Tribolium castaneum: one gene and its partners. Each later gene encodes a partner of the first gene's protein in a complex. Links are inferred from orthologs where the notes say so. Each region holds a gene or a part of one and is shown in the gene's direction. Other genes may lie near its edges. The genes, in order: Sf3b3, Mfap1 and Sf3b6.

The links.
Region 2: Sf3b3 (region 1) and Mfap1 share a complex: the UniProt entries of both Drosophila melanogaster proteins name them as parts of the spliceosome B complex. The link is inferred for Tribolium castaneum from reciprocal best matches to the Drosophila melanogaster genes Sf3b3 and Mfap1.
Region 3: Sf3b3 (region 1) and Sf3b6 share a complex: the UniProt entries of both Drosophila melanogaster proteins name them as parts of the splicing factor SF3B complex. The link is inferred for Tribolium castaneum from reciprocal best matches to the Drosophila melanogaster genes Sf3b3 and Sf3b6.

The regions. Positions count from the first base shown.
Region 1 is NC_087394.1:10,463,135-10,466,793, reverse strand, and holds part of Sf3b3 (splicing factor 3B subunit 3), read left to right. Parts: intron 1-548; coding exon 549-883; intron 884-944; coding exon of another isoform or gene 945-1,026; intron 1,027-1,202; coding exon 1,203-1,354; intron 1,355-1,428; coding exon 1,429-1,584; intron 1,585-2,186; coding exon 2,187-3,434; intron 3,435-3,659. UniProt on the Drosophila melanogaster protein: Involved in pre-mRNA splicing as a component of the splicing factor SF3B complex, a constituent of the spliceosome. SF3B complex is required for 'A' complex assembly formed by the stable binding of U2 snRNP to the branchpoint sequence (BPS) in pre-mRNA.
Region 2 is NC_087397.1:4,122,526-4,126,572, forward strand, and holds Mfap1 (microfibrillar-associated protein 1), read left to right. Parts: upstream 1-1,273; 5' UTR 1,274-1,392; coding exon 1,393-1,462; intron 1,463-1,569; coding exon 1,570-2,831; 3' UTR 2,832-3,299; downstream 3,300-4,047. Other genes in the region: Dcr-2 (Dicer-2), read right to left, coding at 3,300-3,450, 3,497-4,047. UniProt on the Drosophila melanogaster protein: Required for pre-mRNA splicing.
Region 3 is NC_087395.1:21,527,919-21,530,442, forward strand, and holds Sf3b6 (splicing factor 3B subunit 6), read left to right. Parts: upstream 1-1,266; 5' UTR 1,267-1,395; coding exon 1,396-1,425; intron 1,426-1,476; coding exon 1,477-1,812; 3' UTR 1,813-1,867; downstream 1,868-2,524. Other genes in the region: mutS protein homolog 5, read left to right, coding at 1-50, 98-143, 189-736, 777-1,250. UniProt on the Drosophila melanogaster protein: Involved in pre-mRNA splicing as a component of the splicing factor SF3B complex. SF3B complex is required for 'A' complex assembly formed by the stable binding of U2 snRNP to the branchpoint sequence (BPS) in pre-mRNA.

The DNA.
Region 1 (3,659 bases):
GTTCATAATAAAACCTTCGTTTACACAATTGATAAACATACAAAAGACGTATTAATTTATTTAAAAACAAGAAACTGTAACAAATTTTATTTATTAGCGTCAATTAGTTCAAAAACGACTGGTAGACTCTCGTATTTTCCGCTGCGCTTATTAAGGGTTTCGATTTTGGGAGAGTTTCACTCATTTACAAAGTCGGGTAAAATTTTAAAACATTATAAAATAGCCTAAGTGACAGAATAAAAAACGCATGGATCTGCTCAGGCATCTATTTAATTGGTTGTCTGTTTTTGTTCCATGCAATATTAACCTCTTCTTGTCGCCTCCGTCGCATTTCTGTGGTGTTATGGAGTGAATCAAGGAGATACATTTTTTTTTTCAGTTTTGTTTTGTCATTAATAATACTAAATAGTAATAAAGAAAATTCGTCGCAAACTAATTTTATTTACAGTAATTCTGTACTATGTCTATTTTTTATTCTTTATTTTTTGAAATCAAATAATTTGTTAAGTTTTTTAATGTCAAAATATTTTCATGGGTGATTTTTTCAGCTACTTGTATCAGATCGCCCATCTTGGTGACGACGACGATGAGTTGGAGTTTAGCTCCGCTATGCCCTTAGAAGAAGGTGACACTTTTTTTTTCGCGCCTCGTTCCCTTCGTAACTTGGTTTTGGTCGACGAAATGGAATCGCTTTCACCGATTCTATCTTGTCGAGTTGCTGATCTGGCAGGTGAAGACACTCCTCAATTGTATATGCTTTGCGGAAGAGGCCCGAGATCCTCATTGCGGGTTCTACGACACGGTCTCGAAGTGTCTGAGATGGCCGTGTCCGAGCTTCCTGGCAATCCCAACGCCGTTTGGACGGTTAAGAGAAGAAGTGACGGTAAGCCTATTTTATTTTATTACTTTAAATGAAATTCATTGTGAATGAATTTCTAATAAAGCCTGGTGGTTGAACGATTTTCAACACCAGTTGCTTTTTATTTCAGATGGCGATTGGTTTGCTTGTCGTTCTGCGGGAGTAAGGTGAGTTGGAAGAAAAGAAAAACGGGGGACAATTAACGAAACAGTGATGATATTTTTTGTCCGTGTTTCAACTGAATCATTGTGATTATAGTTAATAACTGAGTTTTCTTATGACAACTTAGTATTATCTAAGATACTTGGTTTAAATACTATCATTTTGGGTTTATTTGTTACAGATGAATATGATGCTTATATTATTGTGTCTTTCGTTAACGCAACTTTGGTATTGTCAATTGGTGAAACTGTGGAGGAGGTTACAGACAGTGGCTTTTTGGGTACGACACCAACATTGTCCTGTTCAGCTCTTAGTGACGATGCCTTAGTTCAGGTACTTCTCATAATGCCCATTTCTATATATTAATTTGCAATTGATTTTTTATTATTGTATTTTTTTATTTTTAGGTGTATCCAGGCGGTATTCGGCATATTTGTTCCGATAAGCGTGTAAATGAGTGGAAAGCTCCAGGGAAGAAAACAATCGTAAAGTGTGCAATTAATCAACGACAAGTGGTTATTGCACTGTCAGGGGGTGAACTAGCTTACTTCGAAATGGATCCGGTAAATATTTTACTTCAAAAATTATTATCCCAGTTTATTCAAGGCGTTATTGTCTTTAATGCAAGTTTACTCTAACTTTATAAGTGTTATAACGGTAATTTTTCGCTTATTTATTCCGTTTACAATAAATTGCTGCATTTGATACATCGTAAAGTAACAAAAATATCAAATTGCATTCATTTTTCTAAACTATTAAACTATTGAAACATAAGCAAAAATCATTGCAATTACCGAAAACTGTGATCTAATCAAATTGCAATGTTTTTTAGAAAAAAGATGCATTAAAAAGTAAAAAATACTGTTTTTCTTTCAGTGGAGAATATTTTTGCTTACAAGTTAGGATTCTAAAATTTATAAAAGCTTGAGAATTTCGACTGTTTTGAGTGACAATAGCAGGGCGTCATACGCTCTCGGAGAGCTTCAAGAAAATACAGACTTTTAGAACTCTGACTATTAACTAACTCGCTTGAGTCGCTTCCCTCATTTGGCAAATTTCCATTCGCAATTCGGTTCAGTTTTCTGATAAAATCACACAAGCGGACTCACTTCTTGAGATTTTCACAATTTCAGCGATCTTTTAGTAGTAATTCCGTGTTTTACAGACGGGCCAATTACACGAATACAAAGAACGAAAACGTATGAACGCCGACGTCGTTTGCATGGCATTAGCAAACGTGGCGCCCGGCGAACAATTATCCCTCTTCCTTGCCGTGGGATTAGCCGATAGTACAGTACGGATTATCTCGCTAGATCCGAGCGATTGTTTGGCGCCGCGTTCTATCCAAGGATTACCCGTTTGTGCCGAGTCTTTATGTATCGTAGAAATGGGTTGCACAGATCGTGAACCGGATAACGCTGCAGCTGCCAGCACAACAAGCACCTTATATCTGAACATTGGACTTACAAACGGCGCTTTACTTCGCAACGTATTAGATCCAGTTTCTGGAGAATTGTCAGACACAAGAACGAGATATTTGGGTTCGAGACCGGTCAAACTCTTCCGAATACGAATGCAACAATCGGAAGCTGTTCTGGCAATGAGTAGCCGTTCTTGGTTGAGTTATTACTACCAAAGTCGGTTTTATTTGACTCCACTCTCGTATGAAAGTCTGGAATATGCCTCAGGGTTCAGTTCCGAGCAGTGTCCAGAAGGCATTGTTGCGATCTCCACAAATACGTTACGTATTTTGGCGTTGGAAAAACTAGGGGCTGTTTTTAATCAAGTCTCATTTCCGCTTGAATACACCCCGAGGAAGTTTATAATCCATCCTGAAAGCAATAATTTGCTGATCATTGAAACCGAGCACAATGCCTACACCGAAGAAACCAAAAAACAACGAAGATTACAAATGGCCGAAGAAATGAAAGAAGCCGCAGGTGAAGAAGAACAAGAGTTGGCTAAAGAAATGGCCGATGCGTTTTTGAATGAAGACTTGCCCGAAAGTATTTTTTCGGCGCCTAAAGCCGGGCATGGAATGTGGGCTTCGACGCTTAAAATAATGGATCCGGTACAAGGAATCGTGCATAAGTGTATACGATTGGAACAGAACGAGGCAGCAATGTCTAGTGTTTTGGTTAAATTCCAAAATCAGCCACAACAAACTCTGTTCTTGATTGTTGGCATTTCTAAAGATTTTCAACTAAATCCAAGGCATTGTAACACTGGGTTTTTGGATACTTATAAAATGGATCCAATGGGTCGGGAGTTGGAATTTGTTCATAGAACTCCTGTTGATGAAGTTCCAATGGCCCTTTGTGCTTATAATGGACTGCTACTTGCAGGAGTTGGCAGGATGTTGAGGCTTTACGATATGGGGAAGAAGAAACTCTTAAGGAAATGTGAAAACAAGGTTAGTATTATCATTTGTTTAATCATTATTGATATAATTCAGATGTTTAGACTAAGGCAATGGCATTGCTTCTTTCCTGATGTACACTGAAATATTTTTTTGCTGAAATTAAAAATTAATAAAGTATATTTTTTTAAGTATTAACTTTATAACGATAATATATTGTGGGGAGGGACATAATTTCAAGATTAAAAAAGAACTATTTCATACTAATCTGCTTCAAAA
Region 2 (4,047 bases), on another chromosome or scaffold:
CGCGTCTCTAATAACCGGTAGACCTTTGACACGTCGTCTCCGGACCCGAAAAAATCGCCGGAAAACTCCGGGAAAGAAAAGGGGGGCATTCCGGGTGTCGTTGACCCATTCCCATCACATCCATCTCGACGTCATCGTCTGCAGGCCGAAAGATAAATAACACTTTGGTAGCCCCATAGACAGTGATTCTTGGTATACTTTGCATAATAGCATCGCAGCATGCCCTGCCTAAACGTCAGACTCCACACAGACTTCTTGATCGTGCTGACATACAAGAAACAAGAATTTGCCGCGCCTATTTTGCTGTTTTTATCCGCACTTGACAATAACAATCCCGGCATTGGCTTCAATTACGCAAATTATAGCCCATTTATTCGATTTTTCAGCGGTTTTTCAAATGGACACTCGCTTCAACTCGCTGCCATCGAGGCCAGCCAAGACCAGCCAACTCGAAAATGCTTTACCAAAACGGTAAACCAGACGCTGGTTACCGGTGGATGGTTTATAACCGAAAATACGGTTTCAAAGACGGTTCTTTCCATCACACTTACCACTTGGTACAAGTTGTGTTGCCGTTTGTAATCCAATTATTGTAACTCATAAAATGCACACAACACAGAAAATACACCCGCAACCACTCTATTTGTTCATAATGTTGGAATATTTTGGCACAATCGCGTAAAAATTATAATAACACAGCTTCGCCGCGTCTTCTTCCACGCTTGCGTTTCGTAGATTTAACTTGATTCAGCATCAACAGGTGGTATTGCCAACCCAACGGCAACAGCTAATTTGCATTTCGGTTTCTTACGTTGGTGGCCCTCGACTTTTTTTACCCACAGGTTTAAACAATCCAAATAACTTTCGAATGAAACGTATAAACAAAAAAAAACGTTTACTCTTTATTACCAATTTAAACAATAAAAGTCACAATTTTTTGTAATTTGTTTGATAAAAGGAACACATTTTCTACACGTATCATTTAGAAAGAAACACGATATAGTTTTAACATATAAAAACCAATAGATAATACAATATAATAAAATTCTAAGTTGCAAAATCCATAGATTCTGTATTAATTATTGCGATTATTATAAAAAATATATTGGTTTGATTATTATACAACCAAAATTACACCTTATTTATTTATGTTTGCAATCAAGTCTCTGCGCTGAGTTTAAATCAGTTACGAACAAAATTTTTTTTTGGTTCATTTATCAAAAAAATTCTCGAACCGGTTGATTTTATTTTTATAATTCATTGATTATTTTTCAATTCTATGCTTGTCACTTGTCAACCTGTGTTGTCAACTGTCAAATGTAAAGTTGTGGCACAAAAACAATTTTCGTTTATTTTAGAATTAAAAACGACTTTCAATAGTCGATTTTCACAATGATGAACCCCCAGCCCTATTATGGCATCCAGAGTACTGCGGGTGCGGTTCCCGTTCGCAACGAAAAAGGTAAAATATCTTTCTTACCTATGACGGCTATAACCTCATTGTCAAAAATTAATAAAAAAATTGTAACAAATAAAAATGCCTTCTGAGCCGTTTCCGCCTATTTCCAGGCGAAATTTCGATGCAAAAGGTGAAGGTGCACCGCTACGTGTCTGGAAAGAAGCCCGATTATGCCCAAGACGCGCGTTCGAGCAGCGACAGCGACGACGACGATTTCCTGGAGCGTCGCAATCAGCCCCAACAGCCCCCAACGCCGGAGCCTTCACGCAGCGATGACGAACTGAATGACCCCCGTTTGCGTCGTCTGAAAATCGCAGAAGTTGAAACTGAAGTGAGGCCAGAACGCCGCCGTCACGTTGTGGAGCCAGAAGTGTTGGAATCGTCTGATGAAGAATCCGAAAAGGAACAAATTAATTTACCCGAACATAAACACACACTGGAGGCGGCTCCTGACGATGATGAGTCCGAAGTGGAGCTTAGCGATAGCGAAATCGAGAAACGCAGAGAAATGATGAAAAAACGCATGATGGAAAAGCAGGAAGAGGAGTTTATGGTGAAAGAAGAAGAAAAGTCGGAGTCGTCGGAAGAATCGTCAGAGTATGAAGAGTACACAGATTCGGAGGAGGAGACTGGCCCCAGATTAAAACCGATTTTTGTAAGAAAGAAAGACAGGATCACGATCATAGAAAAAGAAAAGGAGGTACAGAAGCAGAAGCAGCAAGAATTGGAAGCTGTGAGAAATGCGGAAGAAAGGCGGCGACAAACGCTACGTCTTGTTGAGGAAACAATCAGGAAGGAACAGCAACAGAAAGATAAAGAAAATAACGAACCCAACCTTAACGACGTTTGCACAGACGATGAAAACGACGAAATTGAATACGAAGCTTGGAAACTAAGGGAGTTGAAGCGAATCAAAAGAGATCGCGAAGAACGCGAAGCTATTGAAAAAGAGCGACTTGAAGTCGAACGATTGAGGAACATGACGGAAGAAGAGAGAAGGCTTGAGCTGAGACTAAACCCCAAACAAGTCACAAACAAAGCCATCAAGGGGAAGTACAAATTCTTGCAGAAATATTACCACCGTGGTGCGTTCTATCTTGATAAGGAGGACGAGGTTTTCAAGAGAGATTTCGCACAAGCAACTCTGGAAGATCACTTCGATAAAACTATTTTGCCGAAAGTTATGCAAGTCAAAAATTTCGGACGGTCTGGACGAACGAAGTACACACATTTGGTGGATCAAGACACAACTCATTTCGATTCACCTTGGTCAAGTGAAACCTCGCAAAATCTCAAATTTCACTCGACACAAGCAGGGGGCGTCAAGCAAGTCTTTGAAAAACCCTCGTTGAAAAAAAGGAAAACGCAGTAGTAAGGTGTAATAACCACTAGACTTAGATGCAAAAAATATATATTTTTATTCATCAATTAAAGAACAATGTAATAGGGAAATCACACTTTCATACAAGCTTCAAGCAATATACAAAGTAAATTAACATCATCATAAAGTATAGACTAAAGTTCGCAACAGTTTTTAAATTAAACAGTTTTATGTTAACCAGTCAGTTTTAAAATGCGGTTGAGTGGTTAACTTGAAACAGTTTTAATTTGAAAACGAATTATTTTTGGAACCACCTAATGACAAATTAAAGGTTGGCTGTAATTTAAAAATTCTCCTACTTAATTATCAGCGTGAGTTAAATTCACCATTTTTGTGATAGGTATCAAAGCGAATGAATTTAACTGACGGTATATAGTTGAACAATGGAAAACAGCATTTTTCAAACAATCCTAGCGAGTAACTGAATCAATATAAGCGCATTGTGACTTCGTGCGTTAATTACAACTTTAAAGCACGAAGAGCAATTTTGGCAGCGGCCCTTTTAGCCAAGATTTTGTTCGTTCCAAACCCATGAACTCGTTTCTTTCTACCTTCACACATAAAGTCTAAAGAAACCATAGTCTTTTGATTACCAACTTCCAACGCTTTACTGTGAAAGAAAAAATAAATCAAGGCTCAAACGCAACACAACTTACCTAAATTGCGGAGGGTAAACAGTATGGCACTCGTACAATCTCCTGATGACATTTTTTGGCACATTCTTGCTAAAAAGATCAATTTCGCGCCAGATAATCTTGTAAAACACCCTCCAAACAGTCTTCAAATCCTTATTGCTATCTAGATAAATTGCGCCAGCAAGGGCTTCGAAAATATCACCCAAAACTTTAGGCACATCGACGTACTCGGCGATATTCATCTCATCCTCCTCCAACAAAATCAGAACTTCATCGTCGATCACGTAATTTTTTGAAGCAAGGTAATCGGCAAACTTGTCAATATGACCTTGCAAATTCGAATTCATCATGAGCAAAAACTTGTGAAACCCGCATCGGACAACAAGGCTTGCGAACGTGTTATTGTTGACAAGGGATGACCGCAAATCGGTCACTTGACCCGGCTCCAAATGCCCACAATGTTCGAAAATATAACACGTGATGAGGAAATCAAGCACAGCATCACCAAGAAACTCCAACCGTTCGTAGCTCAGTGTTATGCGATTCGGCGAATAGGAAGAATGAGTTAAAGC
Region 3 (2,524 bases), on another chromosome or scaffold:
AACCGAATTGCGATCCCGAGGAATTGAAAGATTTAGGATTTCAATTCATGGTAAGAAAATTCCTAAGGCGATTTATCACTTATTGGGTATTTTGTAGTTCACGTTGCGTGGAACAATCCATTACAAGAATCCACTATGTTTAGGTATAAAAAATTTAAATTTATTGTTTTTCTATCATTTTAATTTAGAATTGGACGAAAACCTTGGCGACATTAATGCCGAAATAATCGCCCACGAAAATCGCATTTTGCAACGCCTTTCCTCCTTCATTCTCAAATACAACAAGGATATTAGAGAGCCTCTTAGAGTCTTATCGCTGTTTGATGCGTACGATTTTATTGATTTTTTCTCCCAATTATACACAATTTTTAGTTTGATAGCAATAGCGAAAGTCTCGGCACAAAATAATTACGTCCGACCTGCTTTAAACAACCAAAATATGCACGAAATCCGCGAGTGTCGTCACCCTCTCCTCGAGCTGGTCTCAAATTTCGAGCCCAATGACTTTTGCTCGGGGAATCACCACAGTCACATTAAAATAATCACGGGGCCTAACGGCAGTGGCAAAAGTGTGTATTTGAAGGAAGTAGCCCTCGTTATTTACTTTGCCCACATTGGCTCCTACGTGCCTGCCAGGAGCGCCAACATCGGGATTTTGCATTGCATACATTCCAGAATGCAAGCGACGGAATCGGCAGCCGTGCGCCTATCTGCATTTATGATTGACGCAATCCAGGTCTGTATAAAATTTTGCGAAAAAATTAATCGTAAATTAGGCCACGCAAGCGATTCATAACGCGCGCCACAACTCTCTGATCTTATTGGACGAGTTTGGCCGGGGAACCACCGTGGAGGATGGACTTGCTTTACTGGTCGGCTTTCTGGCCGACTTTCACAAACAAGGCAATAACTGCCCTCACATACTTGTCTCGACGCACCACCAAAGCATTTCTGATTTTTTACCGGAAGATGGTGTTGTTGAATATTTGAAAATGGCACATTCGGAGGAAAATGGGACACTTTTGTTCCTTTATAAAGTGGCGAAAGGTGTTTCGAGGAGTTTTGCGATAAAAATTGCGGCCGAAGTTGGCGTGGATGCGAGTATTATCAAACGGGCAAACGAATTGTTTGAAAAAAAGAAAACAGTCACGCCATTAGTCCGTTGTGAGAGTTATCCGGCTTCCGTTAATGATAGTGCGTTGATTGCGTTTTTAAAAGATGTTAATATTCCGGAACCAGATGAGGCATAATTGTGTTTGAATATCCCGCTTTAGTTTTGTTAATTGTTGGGTTGGTACGTGTTACGTTGGCGATCGTGTTGTTCAGTCAATAAAAACGTTTGTGTGAGTTTGTTTTTGTATTTAATTCATTGAAGCAAATTAAAAAAACGCCACAATGGCTTTGGCTATGCAAAGAAAGGCAAACGTAAGTCGTTAAATACCAAAAATTTGACCCAAAAAATGTTTTTTTTTATAGGTTAGGTTGCCCCCAGAAATCAACCGAATTCTCTACATCCGCAATCTCCCCTATAAAATAACAGCCGAAGAAATGTACGATATTTTCGGTAAATATGGGGCTATCAGGCAAATCCGCGTCGGTAATACCCCGGAAACTAGAGGCACAGCTTTTGTGGTTTATGAGGACATTTTTGACGCAAAAAACGCTTGTGACCATTTGTCCGGCTTTAATGTTTGTAATCGGTATTTAGTGGTTTTGTATTATCAGGCGAGTAAAGCGTTCAAGAAGACCGATATTGAGAAGAAACAGGAAGAGATTGATAAGATGAAATCAAAATACGGAATTAATACGTAAACATATTGTATTGTACATAATTTTAAGCTTTTTAAATAAATAATTACAATGAGAATGATTTTTATATCTAACGCAATTAAATCTCCCTTTAAATTCCCTTTCAATTCAGGGTGAGTCTGCTAAGAGTTTTTTTTTATGGGTACAAATTAAATGCACAGTATTTTATTTAAACGACAAGTATTTTTGATCAGTAAAAATAATAAACGCACAGTAAAAATAATAAACGCACAGTTAAAATAATAAATGCACAGTAATAATAGTAAATGCTCAGTAAAAATAGTAAATGCTCAGTAAAAATAATAAATGCACAGTAGATAATAGCATCTCAAAAATCGTTCGCGGGATATGTTTCGTTTTAGTTCGATGGGGCGAAGCCCCAGCCTGCAGGCTATCTATTGAGCGTTTATTATTTAAACCGTGTAAACTGAAACTAGATACTGTGCATATACGATTTTTTTACTGGGTAAATTTTAATAAAATACTGTGCGTGGTTTTGTCATTTAAATTTTTTACTGAGTAAAAATGGATTAAATACTGATCATTTATTATTTCTACTGTGCAAAAATTAATTAAATACTGATCATTTATTATTTTTTACTGATCAAAATCGAATTTATTAATGATCGCTTTATCACTACCCTTTTTTTACTATTGACTACATGCAGAGTGACCCAGTTTTTTCTATGAAAGATAAGGCACATTTTAAAAATAT